Linked DNA regions of Rhinolophus ferrumequinum. The protein of the gene in region 3 interacts with the protein of the main gene of each other region in a pairwise test. Links are inferred from orthologs where the notes say so. Each region holds a gene or a part of one and is shown on either strand. Other genes may lie near its edges.

Region 1 (7,737 bases), on a different chromosome or scaffold from region 3:
CTACAAAGTCCCTTTTGCCATAAAAGGTAGCATTGACAGTTTCCGGGGATTAGGATGGAAGCTCTTGGCAGGGGAGGAATTATTCAGCCTGCCACATTTATGTGGCATTCTAGAAAAGGCGGAACCACAGTGACAGAAAACAGACCAGTGATTGCCCGGGGCCAGGGTGGAGGTCACAAAGGAACTTTTTTGGGTGGTCAAAATGTTCAATGTTTTCATTTTGGTGGTGGTGACATGACTGTACACATTTATCAAAATGCCACAAAGTAGGAGAAATAAAATAGGAGAAAACAATAGCAATATATAAAAGTGACAAGAGATGAATACCCGAAATATAAAAGAAGCTCATAAACTTAAAAAAAGCAGACAGGGCTACAACCTAATCCACAAGACTACTGTCACTTCTGACACAACGGCAGAGTTCAGGGCATTCCCCAAACCATCTTCAGGTTCAAAAATTCAGTAACTAGAAGGACTCACCAAATGCCCTGCAAACTGAATGCTCGTAGTTACAGTTTATTACAGCTAAAGGGTATAGATTGAAATCAGCCAAGGGAAGTGCACATACGGGTGATGGAAAGGTTCTGGAATTAGACAGTGGTGATGGCGCACTCCAGTGAGTATACTAAAAACAAGTGACTTGTATAATGTTTTAAAGTGTGAGTTTTAAGTTCCAAAGGTGGAGCTTCTGTTGTCCTCTCCCCAGGGAACCACGAACTCCATGCATTACTTTACCAGCACTGATGTGTGACAATACACATGGAGTATTTCCACCCAGGTAAGCTCATTGCCTTGGTGTCTAGGGCGTTATTGGGGCTCCATCACATAATCGTGGTTGACTGTCCATGTAGCTTATCTCAGTTTCCAGCTCTTCCAGGTGGAGCTGAATGAGCTGACACCATATGTCCCCACCCTAAACCACAAAGTTAGTCTATCTGGTGTGGCCAGATCCCACCCTAAATCACACTGGTGTGACTAGCCCCACCCGAAACAAAGACATTTCTCTCAGGCATGACATTCCATGGGTTCAGACATTGCCTTCCAGAAGCTGAGAGCAAAAGCCAGACCTCTCTTTGGGAAAATTAAAATTCTTTACTACAGAATAATGCAAATTTTAAATTCACAAAAAAAGGAAGTATGAATGGCCAATAAGCTTAAGGAGCCCTACTAGCTAAGTATTAGAAAATGCAAATGGAAACAATGAGATTTTAAAAAAAAAATGCTCATCACACATACTCAGGGGTAGGGAATCCCAAGAAAAGTTGGTCGGCAAATTGGGAAAATCGGCTCCTTGAGCTCAGGTGGTTGTAGTATCAGCCATCACTTTGTGGAAATGATTCATCATGGAGAACAGAAAACAGTTTATATCTCGGGATTCGGGAATGGGAGAGCGAAAAAAATTCCTGAGAACGGGCGGAGGGAATTCCAGCCTGGAAACCCTACTCAGGGGAGTGGGCAAATAGTTAAGCTCACTGCTCGTCGTGGGAGTGTTAGCTAGCAGGGTCTGTTGGAGCAATTCGGCTTTTTTTTTTTTTTTAAAGCGCAAATACCCTTCCATCTAGTGGTTTTACCTTGAAAACTGGATCCATAGTCTTACATGTATGTGCAAAGATGTGTAAATAAGAATTCTTATATACTAGTACCTGTAACGAGGAGCTATTGGAAACCACTTAAGTGTCCACCAGTGGCAGGAAGGATAAAGAATTACGTAGTAGATACTCTATCAAATATTACCCAACTTGTAAAAAGAATGAGGGCAGCCTTCATGTGCTGTCACAGAGAAATTTCCAAGACATAATGTTAAGTGAAAAGATCAAGTTTCAATATACAGAGTATAATCCCATTTTTTGGTAAAATTTTTAAAAAATGACGTACAAATCAAGTCTCTGTGTTTCTATGTATCATATGGTAGTGAAAAACAAAAGATCTGCTAAGATACTCCAAACGCTTCTCAGGGACTCACTAGAGGTGAGGGTGAAGGTTTGGAGATGTGCAATGAAATAAATTAATGAATTAATTGTGCAATTAAAAATAAAGAAACTGAAACCAGCCATCCCCACAGCACCCATCACAGGGCCCGTGGGAAAAGTCCTCAATCAGCCTTGAGGATTGCTGATTACAATCCTCAACCTCCTGAAGTGGGCTTCTGGAAACTATTGGATGAACCCCAGTGGAACTTCTTTGTGAATTTTTAAAAACTGTAAGTCAAATGGTGTAACTGCCCTCCAATGGTCTGTTCTTTATAATAAAATCCCTTTCATTGCCGAGGGATTAATCCCCAGGTGATCTGGTCCCTGGCTGTGTCTGGAACCCCATCTCTTCCTAGTTCCCTCAACGCATAATCTTCTGTCTTTCCTCAAAGACCCCCAAATTTTTCCTGCCTCAGGCTTTTGCACTTATGGTGATTTTCTCTGCCTGGAATGCTCTTTTCCTGCCTGATTCTTATTCATCCTTTAGATCTCTACTTAAACCTTTAGACTTCCCTGACCCAGCTATCTAAATGACACTCCCAACCCTCAATTAGTATTCTTTTCCCCTGGCACCCTGGTCTTTTCCTGTAGCAACTGAACACAATTGGTAATTATGCATCTCCTGGAATGCGGCTTCGTGTATTTAGCCTGTCTGTCTCCCCCGTCAGACTCCCTGAGGGCGGGGTCTGGTTGGATGGCCCACAGCCCTGTCCCCAGTGCCTGGTACCCACGAAACATCTGCTTAGTGTTTGCATCCCCATTGCCTCTCGAGTATGCCCCGCCCACCCCAACGGAGGGCAGGCCCAGCACACAGTATGGGCTTGGCCAGAGTAGGGAGCCTTTGCAGAAGTGAGAACTGAGGCAAGACATGTGTTGCGGGTGATCTTCGTGGCGCTGGCCTGCTCAGACCCCAAGGAGGAGGGGAGCAGCCCTGAGAATGAGCGGGCGTTCGTTTCCGTATCCTGGTTCTGTCCCTCCATCCCACCCCAAGGACCTAGGGCTCTCATGGCGCCAGTAGAGACTGGGTGGGCAGCTGGTCCCTGCCTGGGGACAGGTCCCTTCCCACTTTTTCTAACTGGGGGTGAGTGAAGTTGGTTTCCAAGAAAATGTCTAAAAAACAATACAGTGATTGAGTCTTGCTTGCTGCCATTTGAAAGGAATGAAAGTGGGATGAACCAAAAAACAAAATCCAAACCAAAACCAAAACAAAACTACTCTACTGTTTTAGAATCTGTCGCAGAAACAATCACCTTATTGTTTTCTGTGTCATAATAAAATTAAGGGTTTACCCAAGAGCTCTGTTCTGCACTTGGGCAGAGAGTAGGCAGAGAGGCTGGTCTCTGAGTAATGATTTTGCAGCTACCAAGAAGCACTCCTTGTTCCCTGAGTACCTTCTGGGGGATGGATTCAGGTGTGTTTGGGGTAAGGGGTTGAACATCGAGTTGAGTGGAGAAAGGGTTAAATCAGCATCAACCAGTGATATTTCCAAAGCAGATCTTGCCACTCTCCTGCTTGAAACTCTCTAGGCCTTAGAATAAAATATTACCCCCCGACCCCCAATTATTCAGTAGGCTGAATGACCACCAAAAAACATCAGCCCCTATCCCAGGAACCTGTAAATTTTACTTTATAAACAAGAAGGGCCTTGCAGATTAAATTAATGTTTGTGATATGGAGAGATTATCCTGGATTACCTGGGTGTCCTTAATCCAATCACAAGTGTCTTTGCAAGAGAGAGGCAGAGAGAGATTTGATACATGCAGAAGAGGAGGCAATGTGACCACAGAGGCAGAGAGTGCAGTGATTGATGTGAATGAAGTCAGGGAATGTCAGCAGCCACCATCAGAAGCTGGAAGAGCCAGGAACAGATTCTCTCCTAGAACCTCCAGAGAGAGGTCTGCTCACACCTTGATTTTGGCTCAGTGAAACTGATTTCAGGCTTCCCGCCTCTAGAACTGTAACAGAATAAGTTTTTGTTCTTTTAAGCCATCGAGTTCACAGTAATTTGTTCCAGCAGTCACAGGAAACTAATACAATCAACTAAATAGCCCTTTGTGACCTGTCCTCACCAACGCAGCACATCTCACCCTCACGCACTTTGTCCAAGCCACCAGGATCTTCTTTCTGTGCTTCAAACTGTCCAGCTTCATCCAGCCTCATGACTTTGTTTTATTATAGTCACAGCATTTGTCACTATCTGAAGTTAGTTTTTTTTTTTCTCCCCGGTTTACTACTTGTCACCACACGAGAAAGTAGAATCCAAGAAGGCCTTGTTTGGCTTGTTCCCTGCTGTATCTCCAGGGCCCGGATAGGACCAGACACTCAGCAAACATTGGTTAATAAATAAAAGGAATAATCTGTGCAAGGCTTTATAGCCTGAGGGTGTGTGTGTGTATTTCAGGGTGCAGGTGGAGCAAGGAAACTAACTCCAACATCATCTCCCACCTTCTGACTGACCCCCCCCCTCATTTATTTTGCATAACCTCTGTGAGGCGAGGTCGTTTCATACCCTTTATGACAGACAAGGAAACGGAGGCTCAGCGATCTTCTGTTACTGCGTAGTATGTTCAGAAGTACAAGCCACATCAATTGGGTCATGTGCACCCACAGTTTATCCAGGCCCTCCCCTCCTGGATGCTCGGTTTCCCGGGACTCCTTAGGAGTAGCTAAACAGGGATGCTCATTCTGCTTTAAGGAGAGCGCAAAGAGACGCAGCAGGGGCTCGCCGCCGTAGGGCACCCAGCGCCCTAGAGACACCTGGAGAAAGCAGGTAGAAGCTATCAGGAGGGCGCCGAGCAGCGCTGTCCATTCCTAGTAGAAGGCTTTCCTCAGGACAGAAACGCGCAGCTATCTAGACTCGTTCTGACGGAGCCATCTCACTGACCGTGGCCTCAGTTTCCCCGTCTGTAAAGTGGACGCGACTACAAGTGTCTTGAGGCTGGACCCGCGGCGGTGAGCGAAGGGTTAAAGGGGCGGGTCCCGCGACGAGGGCGGGGCCGGAATTTCTGCTGCACCTGGCGCCTCCAGGCTCCTTCCCATGACACCGCGCTAAACGCCCGGAGCCGAGCGGCGGCGGGAGCCGGAGCCCCCCAGGAGGAGCGGCGTAAGAGCCGGTGCCCGACGCGGGAGGGGCGGCGACGGCGGCCGGTGCGACCCCGGGAGGCGAGCGGAGCTGCGATGGCCGAGTTCCCGTCTAAAGTGAGCACGCGGACCAGCAGCCCAGCGCAGGGCGCCGGCGCCTCGGTCTCGGCGCTGCGTCCGGACCTGGGCTTCGTGGGCTCCAGCCTCGGTGCGCTCATGCTGCTGCAGCTGGTGAGCGCGCGCGGGGCGGGGTAGGGGATCCCGGCGGGCTTGGGGGGTCGGGGGGCTCCAAGGAAGCCCTCTGTCGCACGCCGTACCCGCCCCAACCCAGGCTCGCACGCGACGCGCCGTGCCTACCCCGGGGTGCCTCTAGGACTAATGCCCTAGGTGATCAACCTGGAACCTCACCTTGAGTCCCCGTTGCTGTCTGCGAGCACACGCACCATACACCCTTGTTCAGAGTGCCCGTTCCAACGCACCCTCACTTCCAGGTGGTCACTAAAGGCCACCCACAAAAGCTCTCCAAGAGCCACAATCACTGCGAATGACTCTCAGTCTTTGCATGGCCAATGCCCAGCCCTTCAGCGGACCCAGCCTGAGGCAAATTCCACTCGGGCTAACCCTCTGCGGAGCTCCCAGCGGCTCCGTGTGGCTGCACCCCAGAACAGTCCTGGTCTAATCGAGAGGGCACATCCGTTCCAACACGTACACTTAGGCACCGCTCTGTGGGCTCCGGCGCAGGAGCTGGGCCCTTCTGGCTTCCACTGGGTGACCCGCCGGGTTCCAGCCGGTTTGGCTGGCCTCGCGGGCTGAGATACCGTGTCCAACACTGGGGTGGGGGGTGGGAGGAGTGACTTGTGGGAAGCCAGAGGTAAGACTCCTATGTCTTCCAGACCCTCTGTAGGCCCCAGGTGAGGTAGATCGATGGGAACACCCCTCTTAGACCCGTCCACACGCTTGTTACAGGCCGGGGGGTGTCAGCTTTTTTCCCCTAGTGCCCTCTGGTGCGAGTCAGGAAGCTGGGTGGCCGCCCCTATGAGAGGCTTTCCCCCAGCCGAAGGCCAGGATCCATTGCCCTTTTGGGCCTTTCCAAACGTCCCCCTATTGCTGTGTCCTAGCAAGGCTGCCAAGCTCAGGCTGGAAGGCTGGGTCGTCTTGAGACCGAACCTCCCTCCTCGGCCCTCTCCCCACCCCAGGCGAGGGCCTGCCTCCGGCGTCAGTGATATGTATCATTTACGAATGTCTCAATCCCTCTCTGTGAGCCCCCTCCCCCCCCCCCCCCAGCCTCACATTCTCTTGAGGGGTTTCTTTAAAATGTAGAATGTCTCCACCCCGGGAAAAAATGTGGAATTGGAATTTGAATGTCAGGAAGTGCAGCCCAGAAATCTACATTTTTAATTCACCGAGAGTTGTTTTGGAGATGGGGGTGGGGGGGTGCGGGGCCCCGATGGTGAGGTCAAGAACTAATTTAAATATGCAGGTAGGAAGACCCTGTCTGGAGCTGTGTGCTGGGCTCCTGGTGCTTGTGAAGCCAGCAGGAAGGGAACCTGGGCCCAGGGGCATGAAAGGGCAGAGGAGAGGGAGATCAATTCTGAGCCCTGAAGGTTCATGGAGGAGAGGTGGCCTGTGAGCAAGGACTTTATTGAAATCTGAGGCCAACGTAGGGAAGGGTGTTGAAAGGGCAGGGCGCTGTGGGAGCCAAGGTTTGGGGGTGGAAAAGTGGAAGAGAAGTTTTAGGGACTAGCCAGCAAGTTGGTGAAACTGGACTTGAAGCACTTGTTTCTGGGGTGGCCAGAAGCCGAGGGCCTTGTGTCCCTCTGCAAGAGATGGTGACAGTATTCCATTGGCAGCCTTAGGAGGTTTTGGACCAGCAGAGGGGTCTCTACTGGGCTGAGATGATGAGGGGTGGGTGGATCCCTAGGGTTAGCCAGCTCCTGGTAACAGAACCTGAGCATCCGGCTTCTTTTGCATTTCAACAATGAGAATTGGAATTAGAGGAATTGGAAGAAGGAGCATCTTGCTGTGCCTGCAAGGACCTTGGTAGCTTCCTGTGGAGGAGGCTTGTGTCTCTGATTTGAGGGTGCCTGTTTTCTCAGCAACCCACCCCTGAGCATTTGGGTCCCATTGCACAGATGTGGACACTGAGGTCTAGATAGAAGGTAGGACTCACCAGGATCCTGTGGTGGAGCTTGGCACTTAGGTCTCCAGACTCTCGGACTGGGTGTGGGTGGGGTGGCCTTCCTCTGCTTTCCCTGCAGTGCTTTTGGGGGAGGGGGGCGAGAGGGAGGATGAGGGTCCCCCATCAGACTTCTGAAGAGCTGCACCTTCACCCCCCCCCTTTCTTATGCCTCCTTCCCCACTCCGGTTCAAGCCGATGTTTCTCAATACCTGGCCCATGCTGGTATTATGAGCCTTGAGCTCCCCCGGCTGAGGCAGTCGGACACCAGTTGTCTGTAGGCCGCTCACGACAGCTCTCGCTGGCTGCTGGCCATTCACGCTGGCCACCGGCCGCTTATGTTGGCACATGGTAGCCCACGGCCAGCTGCACCTTTTAGTGCCTTCACCAATCTGCTTCTGGGAGAAACTGCTTCCTGAGCTGTTTCTCTAGCAACAGACAGTTCCACTGGGTCTGAGATGGGGTGTTCACACAATGGGCACCAGCATCTGTTAGGAAGCAACAGTAGTT
Region 2 (6,976 bases), on a different chromosome or scaffold from region 3:
GACTGCCTCAGTCGGGGGGTAGCGCAAGGCTCATAATACCTGCACGGGCCAGGGAGCTGTGTCCTACACAACTAGGCTGAGAAACAACAGCTTAAACTGGAGTGGGTGGGGGGAGGCGGAAGAAGGAGAAAAAAAAAAAAAACAGCAACCTCATCCGATATCTCCCCTGTTCAGGAGAATGAGACCAAAAGGGGGAATTTACTCAACCCCTGATCACAGCACAGAAATCACCTCACATGCAGGAACAGGTAAAAACTAATAGACGAAAGCTCACATCAACCAATGACGGCAAATTTTCCTCAACATCTACCCTACACATGTAAATCCGTATTTTTTAATGCACAGCATGGTGATTATAGTTGATAATACTGTGTTGCACATTTGAAAGTTGTTACGGGAGTAGATCTCAAAAGTTCTCATCACAAGAAAAAAGTTCTCATCACAAGAAAAAATATTCTGTAACTATGTGCTGTGATGGATGTTAACTAGATTTGTGATCATTTCGCATTATAGATATATATGGAATTATTAGGTTGTGCACCTGGAACTAATATAATGTTGTATGTCAATAAAAATAAAAGACATTCTCAGATGAAGAAAAAGTAGAACTCATTGTTAATGACATGCTCTAGGAGAGGTGCCTACGGAAGCTTTCAAACAGAAGGGAATGATACCAGAGAGAAGCTTGGGATGTTAGGAGTGAAGGGACAGCTACAGAAATGGTAAATATCTGGGTAAACATGATAGATTATTTTTTTCTCTTCAGTTCTTGAAAATATATATGGTGTTTGAAAGCAAAAATCATAACATTGCTTGGTGGGGTTTTCAATTTATGTATATGTAACACATAAGACAACCTGGAAAGCAGAAGGGTAGAGGGACCCATATGGTCATAAGGTTTCTACACTCTTTTTGAAGTGACAAAATATTAATTCTGAGTAGAATGGAAAGTTAACTATGTATATCATAACTCCTAGAGCAACTTCTAAACAAACAATACTAAGAGGCATAGTCAAAAACTCAATAGGTAAATTAAAAATGGAATACTAAAAATATTTGAAAAATCCCAAAGAATGCAGGAAAGAGGAAACAAAGAAATGAAACACAGAGCAAACAAAAAATAAACCTAAATCCAAACATCAATAATTACATTAAATGTAAATGGTCTAAACACACCAATTTAAAGACAGCAAATTTGAGGAGGATGGGGGGGAGGACCCAAATATATCATAACCACAAATGAAACCATTATAAATATAGTTACATAGGTAAGTTAAAAGTAAAAGGATGGAAAAATACACACCATGCAAACACCTGGTGTGTGATAATATACATGCAAACATCAATTACAAGCAGTGGGTCTGCATTGTTGCTGGGACTGTAAATGGTTTTACCATTTTGTAAAATAGCTTGATATTATCTGCTAGAAACACATACCACATCACCCATAGTTCCACTCCTAAGATATTCCCAATAGAAATGCACACATAGATGTACCAAAAGACTTGTTCTAGAAAGTTCATAGCTGTTATTAATTAATTCATATGTCAAATTAAAAGAACTCAAGGGTCAATAAACAATCGAATGTGTAAATAATGCAGTGTGTCTGTGCACTGGGGTACTGTGCAGCAGTGACTACAGCAACACAATGACGTGGGGGGTGTCACAGGCAGCATTTTGAGTAAAAGGAGCCAGACACAAAGGAGCCCACTCAGAAACAGGCAAAACCAGCCTTTGGGGTTAGACATCAGGAAAGCAGGTGTTTGAGGAGGAGTCTGCAAAGTTCTACTTCTTGCTCTGGGTGGTGGTTTCATGGTCTGTATGTTTTGTGCACTTTTCTGTAAGTGTATTATAGATCAATAAAAATTTTGAAATAATTTTTTAAAATCAGAATTAAGAGAGGAGGTGCTGGTCTTGCTGTGGAAAGAAAGAGAGCCAAAAGAGAAGTGATTTCAGGTGGAATGGAAAACAAGTACTTGTGAAGTACCTGCTACATGCCAGAAGCATTCTCTAGATTTTCACATATAACATCTCACTTAACCTGCCCCAACGAACAAACGAGAAAATGGACATGATGATCATGGTGCTCAGTATTCACTAATTCTCAGGCCATGATGTGGAAATCAGGGGCCCTTTGTAGAGGCCCTGGCCTTTTCTCCTGGGCCTGGCATCCCCTCTACACCACCCACCTCACACCGGACTCTGACCTTGTGTCCGAGAGCAGTCACACCCCAGCCCTGGCCTGGAAGGTGGACATGGTCTTGCCACGCTAACCTCCTCCATTCTGGCATCTTGCGCTCATTGTCTTGTGAATCCTGTAGTGTTCTTTTAAATAGCCTGAGGAGAGTGCACTATACTTTGTCGCATATGATAAAACTTGGTTAAACGTAATCACTTGGTTAAATGTAAACATTTAAAATATGCTGGATTTTTTTATAACTGGATTTTTCATAACCGTGTTGACACTAAGTGCGTCAGGAGGAGGAAGGGGCTCCTTTCCCGTTTTCACCTCTGCTTTGTAAACCAGGGATGAGACTGACAAAGCTTTCCGTCTTGCTTTCCCCTCAGCTCTTCCCGCTGTGCCACCTGGTCGGCGGTGGTCAAGTCAGATGGATCCTGCAGCCCGTAAGGGTGGACAGGGCTTATTATGACATTCAGGAAGGAGGCAAGGGCCAGACTCCCGGGGCAATGCCTGCGTTAGGCCCATCCTGCCAAGGAGATGGGTGGGGGCAGGCGAGCCCCGGCCTCACGTCTTCCCGGGACCGCCAGCAGACTGGCTTGAGGTGCGCTTGGTGCGCTTGCCACTCCTTGCAGTGCCTTTGCTCTTGGCTTTGTTTGTCCAAACCCCCCTCCCCTGGCTGTCCCCAGGCTAGGCAAAGGCCCAGGTGGCTGCTCACCCACCTGTTCGGGAGGGCAGGCCTGGAACCAGCACTCTTGCTAAGGAGCAGACACTGGCCATTTGTGGAGGACAGCGAATTCCCCGAGTACTCCCCACACCCCTCCAGATGGAGCGCTGAGGAGGAGGCCAGGAGGGTAGGGAGAAGGGACCCATCCCCCAACCCCCAAGCAGACTGTGGGTGCCAGGCCTTTCTACAGATGGTCGATTCATTCTAAGGTAGAGAGAAAAAGGGCTCAAATCTCCAGGACCTGTTTGTAGAGTGAAAGGAGTTGCCTGGCTGCTGGGTCACAGCCCCTGTGCTGGGCCAGCAGGCGGGCCTGGAGGCAGGAAAGAGCTTCCTGGCCCCAAGCCCAGCTCCTGGCTGCACTGGCTGGGGGGCCAGCGCCGGGAGGGAGGAGGGCTGGGGCTTGGGGCAGCACCCAGCCAGCAGGCCCTTCTCCGGTGCCTGCTACGGCAAATTTCTCCCACAGAGGGCGTCCTCCTCATCTGCTGTGTGGGGTAAAGAAGAGAGTACCACAGGAGGGTGCAGAGAAAGAAGGAGTCACCAAGTCCCCAAGTCCCTGGGGACAGGAGCTGGAAATGAGGGCTGTTCCTCCCTTTCTGGTTTGAGGCTGGGGGTGGCCCCCAGGGGTGGACAAGGAAGGAGCCGCGGAGAGCCATAGGAGACCCAGCAGGTCCATGGTCCCTGCCTTGAACTCACAGATTCTTGGTCTCTGCCCTTGGGAAAGGTGCGAACTAGCCGCGTGCAGGGCGGTGAGGAACACCAGAGCGGTCTGCAGATTGCCCGGCGCATAGTAGGTGCTAAATAAACGTGTCTGTCGTGGCCAGCGGCCTTAGCCGACACTCTGGGCACAAGGTTGGGGGGTAGTGGCTGCTGCTGGCCTAGAATAACACGCTCTAGGATTCAAAAATTCCTAGGAAGGAAGAGCCTGCCTACCCAGCGCTCCCGCCCGGCCCCGCCAGGGAGGCCGGACCGGCCTGGGGCGCAGCCCTCCTTTTGCTGAGGATTTCTGGCTAGAGCGAGTGGAAGGACCTGCTCGGCTGGAACGTTTTTGTCCCTCCCAGGCGACGTCCGATGGGTGTGTCGGGCAGGAGGTGATATTTGACGGGCAGCGGGAGGGAGCTGCGGAGCCGGGCACCAGGCAGGGTGCGAGCATGGCCTCCCGGGACCCACCGCCCCCCACCACCCACGCGCCGCCCGACGTGCCCACGGGGCTCACGCTGTTTCTCACCATCCCCTACGCCTTCTTCCTGCCGGAGCTGGTGAGTGCGCCCCTGCGGACAGCGGGGGGCAGACGGGGACTGCCGCGCTCCCGTCCCCCGGGAGAGGGAGGAAGGGGGACCTGCGGGGCTGCTGCGTCCCCATCGCCCCATGGGGCCGCCCGGGAAGCAGCCCAGTCCCTACTACGCTCCCCCGGGCTCCTGCAGCGCTGGTGGGTTTCCTCCTTTCCCCACCGTGGGCCGTGATAGGGGGCGGGGGACAGCTGCTAGAATATTCTGAATCCTCAAGATAATGTTGGACACGGACTTTAATTATATCGCTTCTTGTCTCCGACCTCTTGTTTGTGCTTTTCTAAAGTTCCGAATTGGGGGGGGGGGGGGTTCTGTCTTTCCTGACGAGAGGAAGTCTTGCAGTTCTTCTTAATTGTCTCGTCAGCTGACTTTGAACTTTGACTTATGCGGGTGCCCCAAGGAGGGAGCTTATGACAACCTCCCATAAAACAGCCCAGCGAGCTGCCCTTGCTGCACAGGAGAACCTGTCCCAGCGTTGGTTACTCTCTGGGGCACCCACCTCTGAATTCTGGTGCCGTTCCTGCCAGGTGCTGGCGTGTTCCCATTACAGACAGTGCTCACCGAGCTCAGCTCTCTCTGAGCTACTGTCACCATCCGCTTTGATGGGGACACTCAAGTCTGGTGAACAAATCAGGGCAAAGGAGTTTGTTTTTCCAACACCTGAAATATCTAGCTTGTGGGCGACATTTCCTAGTACCTCTGAAAGTGGCAGTGCTGCCTCAGGCAGGGACAGACAGATAGGAAGTGTTTCCAACTTTCAGCTGGACCTGGCCAGCCCTCTCACTGTCCTCATCTGCCTGGAAGGCTGGGTTCAATTGAGGGACCTTTTGGCAAACTGGTTAAAGGGCGCCCATTAACGACAACCAGAAAGGGAGCCAGGCAGGGCGGACTGAGCACTTTGGTGGCTCCAGCTGAAACCCCACCCAAGAGGCAGGTTTCTGCCAGGGCTGCCCTCCAGGGAACACAAGTGTGGGCATCCTGCCAGGCTGATGACATCTTGTTGCTCTTGCAAGGTCTCTGTGCGGGACCTGGGTGTGTCCCTCACCTCAGAACCACCACGTGAATTGCCAGGACTGTGTTGAGTCAATCATATGCTTTATGTCCATCATGGAAGCCACGGGTGACACTACCTCCCCAGGTCCCTGACTGTTGGAGGGACTGGCAAGCACTTCCCCTCCACAGTCAGCCTGTCCTCAAGCAGGTGATCATGGGAGGCTGTGGTACCAGCAAGGAGAGGCCACCTGACCTGTCAAGTAGGAGAGGGGTCCAGGCCTGTCACAGAGGCCACTGTGGATTTGGACCTCAAAGGACAGGCTGGACTTCCAGGCTGGGGGGCAGGAGAGGGAAAGGCTCGGAGTCCAGGAGAGACCAGCCAGAGGCAAGGTCTGGGGGCTGCGGCTTCAGGGATCAGGAAACACCCGGGCTCGAGGGGCCATTTCGTGTACCCTCCCCAACAGTGCTGGCTCCTGCAAATGGAGTTCCCAGAGGAGTAAAGTGCATGGGCGCTTTACAGATATGTACAGACAGCAGTCTACAGTTTTGCTTCCTGTGGTTTCAGTTACCCGTGGTCAACCATGGTCTGAAAATATTAAATGGAAAATTCCAGAAATAAACAATAAGTTTTACACTGTGCACCGTTCTGAACAGCATAATGAACTCTCTCTCTGGCCCGCTCTGGCCCGCCCTGGACATGAATCATCCCTTTGTCCAGCGTGTCCCTTATACACCACCCTCCCATTAGTCACTTAGCAGCCATCTTGGTTATCAGATTGACTGTCATGGTATCACAGTGTGTGTTCAAGAGACACTTATCGTCCTCAATAATGGCCAAAGCGCAAGGGTAGTGATGCTGGCTCTTCAGATATGCCAAGGAGAACCAGAAAGTGCTTCCTTGAGGTGAAAAAGATGGAAGTTCTCGATTTAATGAGGAAAGAAAAATTGTATGCTGAGGTTGCTGAGATCTACGGTTAGAACAAATCTTCCATCCGTGAAACTGTGAAGAAAGAAAAAGAATTTCATGCTAGTGTGCTGAGAGAGAGACCACATTCCCATAACTTTTATCATAGTAGATGGTTATAATTGCTCTATTTTGTTATTAGTTATTGTTGTTAATTTCTTACTATGCCTAACTTATAAATTAAACTTCATCATAGGTACATATGTATAGGAAAAAACACAGTATATGTGGGGTTTGGTACTGGCTGCGGTTTCAGCCATCCACTGGGGTCTTGGACCGTGCCCCTCCGCAGGTAAGGGGAGACCGCCATACACATGGATGTATTTAGTTGGGTTATTCTGTATGCGCTGCTCTGCACTGGCTTTTTTCTTCAGTAAGCGTTCCTAGCAAGGCATATAGAGTCGTGTGTTCCTCTCATCGGGGAAGGAGGAGGGGAGAACATCACATCATCATCGAGGCGAGTGGCGACTCTAACCCCACAGGAGCAGAGGACATGCCGGGCTGGAGAGGACAGTGTAGAGTCGGCCAGTAGAAGCCCTATATGCCCTGTCACCTGGGTATGCTGCCACTGCTGCCCACGCGGGCTGACTGCAGAGCTCCAGCCCTGGCAGTCCCTGCAGATTCCTAGGTTTGGGGCCCCAGGTATCACAGACGAGCAGATGTCATCCTAAGGACGTGAGTCCAGAAAGTGGATTCTAAAACCGGGAGCAGAGGCCAGCAAAGTGGGGCAGAGACAATGAAGTCCGTAAGCTGGATTCAGATGTCATCCGTGGCAGGGTGGCCCAGAGTGGACATTGGCGGTGCCTGCAGCCACCCGTCCCTCAGCC
Region 3 (7,251 bases):
TGAGCTGCTATACAACTTATGGGAAGGAGCCCTGCCTCCATTTCCCCCTGCTTGAGAAAAGCTGCTGCTGACTCTTGCTGTTCCCCCTCACCTAATTGTGAGAGAGGACCATTAGAGCGGTAAGACCAAGCTCTTTCCTGCTCAGCTCATGGCATTGTTTCACCACGAGAGACTCTCTCCCCCAGGGAGGTGCATACCACACCTTGGTCATCTTGGGACGTTATGCTTTGGCTGTTTTGTGATAAATTATTGGGTTTTGAAATTATTTTTCTCAGGTGGTGTAAGAGTTTCACAGACCCTGCCTTAAATCATGCGATGTTCTTTGTTTGTAATCAATAAATATCGCCAGTCGACCCGATTCGGAACTCCAGTTTCTTGAGGCTGTGAGTCCTCTGTGATTTAACTGTATTGAGTCTTTGTCTCTTTATTATAGTTTAACCCTGCGCTGCCTCCCTCGCCTTCCCACGGCTTGTGTAGTGCAGGTCGCTACAATAATCCAGTGATTTCTGAAAATATAGCAGGAGGCCTACCTTCAACTAGGTATGATTGTTAAAAATGTAGAATTCTGGACCCCATTCAGTGTGAATATCTGTGGGTAAGGCCTAGCATTATAATATCTGTAGTTCAAATACATATTCAATGTAGACAGTGTAATATTGGTCACTTTTTAGTTGCATTAAGCTAGAAACCAATGCAGCTACCACCTAAATTAGGAATGGTGAGAGTTAGCTGGCATTCTAATTATAAAACCTATTCTCCAGAGGCAATTAGTGGTACAGATCTGCATCAGACCCTTTGCTAATTAGAATAAATGTCAGAACTTTTTTTAAATGAGTGGCTTTTTACATAGCATCAGCATGTATTAGAATAGGTTCCCATTGGTGAAATTAAAGGTATTAATCTTTTGGAAACATCCCCCACCCTGCCATGAACAGAATTTAAATATCTAACAATGTCTCTAGCCTTTACCCTTACTCCCTAAATTAGTGCCAGATCTTTTATCCATCCATGAACTTGAAGGGCTCTGATGACAGGATCTTATCTTAGGAAACTTGGCTTGCCCGATGAGTTGAAGCTTTCGTGCAGAATAGTAGGAAAAAGAGCACTACAGGACACCGAAGCGAGGGATGTGAGAAGCACTGTCTATCGTGTTCACTTATCAGAGCCTAGGGTGGTGGCTGGCACAGAGCTGGCCCTCAGTAAATACTGAGTGAATCTTAAAATGTGTTCTGTTCTTTTGTACTTTTCTAGTGCTAACTTGAGTCACAAAACCAATTAATCCTTAACTAACAGAATTCAAGGTCTTCAGTAGACAAATACTTTCTTGAGGTTCAAGATACTTGACCCTGATACATACTGTACAAGTACTGCTATAAGATTCCCAACCATTTGTCACTTCCCAGGGTTGCAGTGTCAGGGGACAAGCAGAAAGACACATTTTCTTGCCTCTCCAAGATTCCAAGGTAACTTCTGATATTTCAGAGAAAGAGTGAAAATGTAACTGTCCAAAACATTCACACACACACACACACACACACACACACACACAAATTAAAGGCAAAGATTAACCAGGAAGGACGCCTGCTGGTGAAATCTGTTACCATCATGTCACACATGCTTCTCTGCACCACACTTGCCACCAGAGGCCGCTACTCAAGCTCAGACACCACACAGTTTCCAAGCCTTGTAAAAAGCCATCCAGCAGAAGCCCCATGTATTCACTCCCGAGTGCGCTCTGCCTCTGTCTGACTCCACTGCCTAGCTGGCTCATCTTGACCTACAGACTCAGTCAGAGCCAGAGTAGACTCAGTTACTCCATGTATAAGATGGCAATTAAATCGATTGCAGGATTGTTTTAAGACTTAAATAAAGGAGATTACTATAAAGCTAAATAATGTCCAACAAATGGCACATGATATTATTTCTAAACAAATTCTAACCTGATAGCGAAAATACTACCATCCTTTGATCACCAGTGATTGAGGTTTAGAATTTGTTTTATTTCCATAGACTTTCTAAGAGACTTAGGAGGCACTCTGGCTCTCCTCCTCCTGTCTTTATTCTGACTCAATTTACATGACGGGGTCTTGGTTTCTGTACTGAGCCCTTCCTCCTGGGTCACCTATCTCTCACCACGTCCCCTCCAGAAACTTGTATCTGGCTCTCTGTAACTCTAGCATCAGAATGCAGCCTGTTTTATAAACAAGGAGCCGTAATGCTGGACATAAAGCTAGTTGATAAGATCACTAAAGGTAGGGAACACATTTTTTTAGAACACTTATAGATCCTGGTAATTCTTGTTTCAGAACTCAGAACTCTGAGTTATGACCTCCTTGTTTATTTAAGAGAGAAGTTTGCTATTTCCTTATAAAATTGAAGTTAAGCATTTAATTTCAAAAATTAAATTCAAAAATTAAATTAACTAGTAACATTAGTCACATTTATTTAATGGTTAGTTCAATTTTACAAGCATGTTCCTAAATTACTGATACAAAAGAGGTTATGAAATGACGAAGGGGGTGGCAGGAGGTAGAAGAGGATAAAGGGGGTCAAATATATGGTGACGGAAGAAAACTTGACTCTGGGTGGTGAACACACAATGCAATATACAGATGATGTATTATAAAACTGTACACTGAAACTTACATAATCTTATTAACCAATGTCACCGCAATAAATTTAATAAAATTTTAAAAAAGAAGTGATGCTGTATCTCTTGCCTTCTTGGAAGTTAGGGGGTGGCTGAAGAAATAAAGCTCAAAATAATACATAGAAGAATCACATCACCAATGGCACACACCACACAGTTATGAGACTAGGAAGGAGAGAAAACAGTGCAGGTGTCTTATTAAGTAAGATTTACTGCATGGAGGGGATCTGGAAGGCCCCCAGAAGAAGGGAGGGCATTCTACCCTGTTTCCCCAAAAATAAGACCTAGCCAGACCATCAGCTCTAATGCGTCTTTTGGAGCAAAAATTAATACAAGACCCGGTCTTATTTTATTATATTATAATATATATATTATAATATAATAATATAAGACCGGGTCTTATATAATATAAGACCGGGTCTTATATAATATAATAAAATAAGACCGGGTCTTATATAATATAATAAAATAAGACCGGGTCTTGTATTAATTTTTGCTCCAAAAGACGCATTAGAGCTGATGGTCCGGCTAGGCCTTATTTTCAGGGAAACGCGGTAAGCGTTCAAAACACCATTCGTTTTCACCTTTCTCTTTGTGCTGTCTGGATAGCATGTGATACCTTGCCAGTTGGTCACCATGATTTCTTGTTCCTTTAATTACCTTCAGCCTTTGAGTGATGTTATGGCCTGAAATTGTAACTTTCTTAAGTTCATAGCATTAATTAATTTTCAGTATCTTTTTTTTTCCATTTTAGATGAGTACATGAAAATAGAAAACCACTAGAGAAAGTCTACAATAATACATAAGAAAAAAAGGAAAAACACAGACATGGAAGAAGAATCTGTATTCACTCCACTAACTCATTCAACATACAAATAATGAGTCTTACAACATTGCAGACACTGTGTACTCTCTACACAGGGCTGGGGATGCGGGCAGATGTTGGCCTCTGCCTTAAGGATCTCTGCCCTCAAAGCACTCATTTTGTATCTATGAGACAGGACTGCAAATAAATAATTAGAATGTAATAGGAGACAACCAAAAAATGGAATATTATGCCATTATTAAGATATACAATAAATATGTCTATTGACATGAAAAGATGTTTATAAGTTATAAAAGCAGGTTGCAAAATATATAACAATATGATCCTAATTTGATGATTTTACAAAATCATATATGTCTCTATGTAAAATACATATTTATATACAAAAGTTTAAAAATGTAAATGAAAATATTATCATTGACTGTGTGTGTGGTGGGATTATGGATGCTTTTTTCCCTTTCACTTCTTTCTTTTTTTTATTGCCTACATTTTCCAATTTTGTTTATCTAATTTAAAAGGTATTAAAATGCAAAGTGATACTGCACTAACAAGTATCAGAAAGAGTAAAGGGGCTGGAGAATATGAGCACTTCAGTGTTTAGGGATGTCAGAAGGGCTTCTAGTACAAAGGAAAAGAAGGTGGGAAAACACAGTATATTCCAAAATTTACAGATGGGCCTGCGTAACCACTTGGGGTATTAGAGAGTCAATGGCAAATGGACTTTGGAATTAAATAAACAAAGGGCACAGTTTCATTTGAAGCAAGGAAGTAAAAAGGACTTACAATGTCCAGGTAACTACCTCAGAGCAGCACAGAACTTGAAGAAGAGGAAGAGAGAAAGCAGAGAGGAGCCAAAGGAAAGAGTAAGTCCCTTGAAACATCTTTACCTAACTTTTCATCCAAATTAATGGGCATAAACAGTGGGTTGGTCTGTCTCCATGGGTTCTTTGCAGCACTCCATTCTCTAAGCTGCAGAGATGAAGCCAACTCTTGGCTCTATGTTAGACAAGTAGACAAGTAGGGAAAATAAAACCATGAGAGGATGAAACATGAAAGAGAACGTCAGTTATTATAAAACAGGTAAAAGATAGTTCAAGAAAAAATATCAAAAGCTAATGCTAAGAAAGGTGACATAGGAGGTTCAAATGCCATTCCATGAATATTAATCAAGGAGGAAGCAATGTCCCATTGTGAGCATTTGATGATAATGTGGCTACGACATAGCCCAGTAGAAATACTGTTAGTCCTTGGTTTTGAAATACATTTTAATTAAGGTGCTTTTTATGGCAAAAACAGAAAAATAAGTGGGAAAGATCACTCATTTTCACTAGATCAGTATTTTGATTTGTGGATGTACTGAGAAATACTGTGGAAATGATTTAAGATTATGTTTCACTACTATACGTCTTCTCAAAGACAGTAGTCATCTTTGCCTTCTAATGTTAAAAGTGAAATTAATGTAAAAGTGAGGCAGAAAGAAACTAGAAAAAAAAGTAATATTTTTCCAATTTTTATTTGAAATTACCTACTCAAAGCAAATTGGGAGATTTCCTCTTATTCTATAGTCCTGCAGTCCTGTACTTTTGATTTCATCAGACCCTATATTTTCTGATGTCTTTCTTGTGCTTAAAAATAACTGTAGTTGCTCTAATATTTAGAACAAAAGACAACTGACAATAAACATTTTACCAACAATCAAGAGAAAAATTGCTCTAAGCCAATAGGTAGACTCTATGAAGAGTCTATTCATCAGTTTCCCTTTTCTTCTATCATTTACAGGATTATTCTCATTTCAACTGGATAATCACTTAGTTGTTCCCCCAAGCATCTTTTCCTTCCTTTGTACCAAACTACAGCAGTCCCCCTTTATCCACAGGGAAATTCCTTGGTGGATGCCTGAAACCGTAGTACCGAAACTTACATGGACTGTTTTTTCTCATTTACGTACATACCTATGATCAAGTTTAATTTATAAATCACAATAAGAGATTAACAACAATAAGTAATAATAAAATAGAATTGTAACAATAGGCTGTAATAAAAGTTATGTGAATGCAATCTGATAACCAAAATGGCTGATTGCTAAGTGACTAAGAGGAAGGTAGCATATAGAGTGTGGATATGCTGGACAAAAGGACGAGTCACGTCCTGGGAAGGATGCAGGGGGACGGTGTGCGATTTCATCACACTATTCAGAACGGCATGAGATTTAAAACTTAAGAATTGTTTATTTCTGGAATTTTCCATTTAATATTTTCAGACCATGGCTGACCACAGAAAACTGAAACCATGGAAAGTGAAACCAGGGATAATGGGGGACAACTAGATGTAACCAGTAAAGCTGCTTACACATTAAGGGTAAAAGAACTGAGACTAGCTTAGCAATTTAGTCCTTTTTTATGAAATCAGAACCTGACCCAGTAAAAATGCATCTGGGATTAGCATAATCATTATAAAACTATTAATAATATGGGTTCTATATGGAACTCATAGGTCTTAGTCCAGATATTAAATAGCAAATATGAAAATTAAAAATGTTGATAAGTAAATAAAAAGCCTTGAGGTTTCTTTTTTAATCAAATTTCTCAATGAGACAAAAAAAATTACAATGATCAATAGCAAAGAAAGGAGGTGATGAGATTATATACATGCAGAAATAATTTGTTTTAATGCTCTTAAAAAAACATAAGAAAATTATTGTACCCTGAGCACCTGTCTCCTCTCTCCTTGATCTTGGCACTGATTTTTTGAAGTGCAATTTCTATTATAAACTTTATATGGCCACATCCACTGCTTAAACCAGAATGGAAGATTTTGGGCTCTAGTAATACAATGATAGCTACCGTGTTTCCCAGAAAATAAGACCTAGTCAGACAATCAGCTCTAATGAGTCTTTTGGAGCAAAAATTAACATAAGACCCGGTATTATATTTATTATATTATATTATATTATATTATATTATATTATATTATATTATATTACCGGGTTTTATATTATAGTAAAATAAGACCGGGAGCGCAAGGCTCATAATACCAGCATGGGCCAGGGAGCTGTGTCCTACACAAATAGACTGTGAAACAATGGCTTGAACCGGAGTTGGGGGGAGGTAGAAGAGGAGGAGGTGGAAGAAGGGGAAAAAAAGAAAAAAAGAAAGTTGCTCCAGGCCCCAGAGTTAGTGAAGTAGCAGACTGGGAAATCTTCTGCACTAAATGGCCACAGAAACCAGATGCACAGGATATAAAACCTCCTGATTTCAAATGTTATTTGAGAGCTATAGGGAATCACTCCAAGAATTACAGCTATGCAATCCTTCATTTTTCCTTGTTTAAAATAACCTTCTGTGGATTAAAATTTGTTTCCACTTTTAAAAAGTATCCTTTGTAATCAGATGTTTCTTTTCTGGATAAATGTATCATTTTGTTATATTATATAATACTTAGGACATAATGATGTCAGCCAAGCCAACAACCCACCCTAGACCCTACGAAGCCACACATAATCCTTACCTAGCAAGCAACTCTCTGGCCTCTGGGCCTCAACCACTTCCGAGTTTCATCAGCCTAGGAAACCAAGCTCAGAGTGGCCAGCCTCACGTCATCACTTCTCCAGGAATCTTCGCTAACAGTCCACAGGGGCAAGGAAATGTACAAATCATAACTCCAGCTATAGGAACAACAACCACAAACTTTAAAGAAGAAATGAAAATACTAGGGGTAAGTCTACTTGCTACTAGAATTTTAATTTTGCATTTGCAAGGTTGTACAGTTATAGTTG

What was found.
Region 1: the proteins of MS4A12 (region 3) and PLLP interact in binary tests that used the Homo sapiens proteins (3 or more experiments, as listed by UniProt). The two-hybrid records come from large-scale screens. The link is inferred for Rhinolophus ferrumequinum from reciprocal best matches to the Homo sapiens genes MS4A12 and PLLP.
Region 2: the proteins of MS4A12 (region 3) and MALL interact in binary tests that used the Homo sapiens proteins (3 or more experiments, as listed by UniProt). The two-hybrid records come from large-scale screens. The link is inferred for Rhinolophus ferrumequinum from reciprocal best matches to the Homo sapiens genes MS4A12 and MALL.

What each region holds. Positions count from the first base shown.
Region 1 is NC_046298.1:9,959,419-9,967,155, reverse strand, and holds the start of PLLP (plasmolipin), read left to right. Parts: upstream 1-4,695; 5' UTR 4,696-5,054; exon of another isoform or gene 5,055-5,085; 5' UTR 5,086-5,147; coding exon 5,148-5,282; intron 5,283-7,221; exon of another isoform or gene 7,222-7,320; intron 7,321-7,737. UniProt on the Homo sapiens protein: Main component of the myelin sheath that plays an important role in myelin membrane biogenesis and myelination. Plays an essential function in apical endocytosis. Regulates epithelial development through the regulation of apical endocytosis.
Region 2 is NW_022680356.1:1,497,550-1,504,525, forward strand, and holds the start of MALL (MAL-like protein), read left to right. Parts: upstream 1-3,934; 5' UTR 3,935-4,054; coding exon 4,055-4,162; intron 4,163-6,976.
Region 3 is NC_046294.1:10,120,483-10,127,733, reverse strand, and holds the start of MS4A12 (membrane-spanning 4-domains subfamily A member 12), read left to right. Parts: upstream 1-4,228; 5' UTR 4,229-4,339; intron 4,340-6,917; 5' UTR 6,918-6,923; coding exon 6,924-7,190; intron 7,191-7,251. UniProt on the Homo sapiens protein: May be involved in signal transduction as a component of a multimeric receptor complex.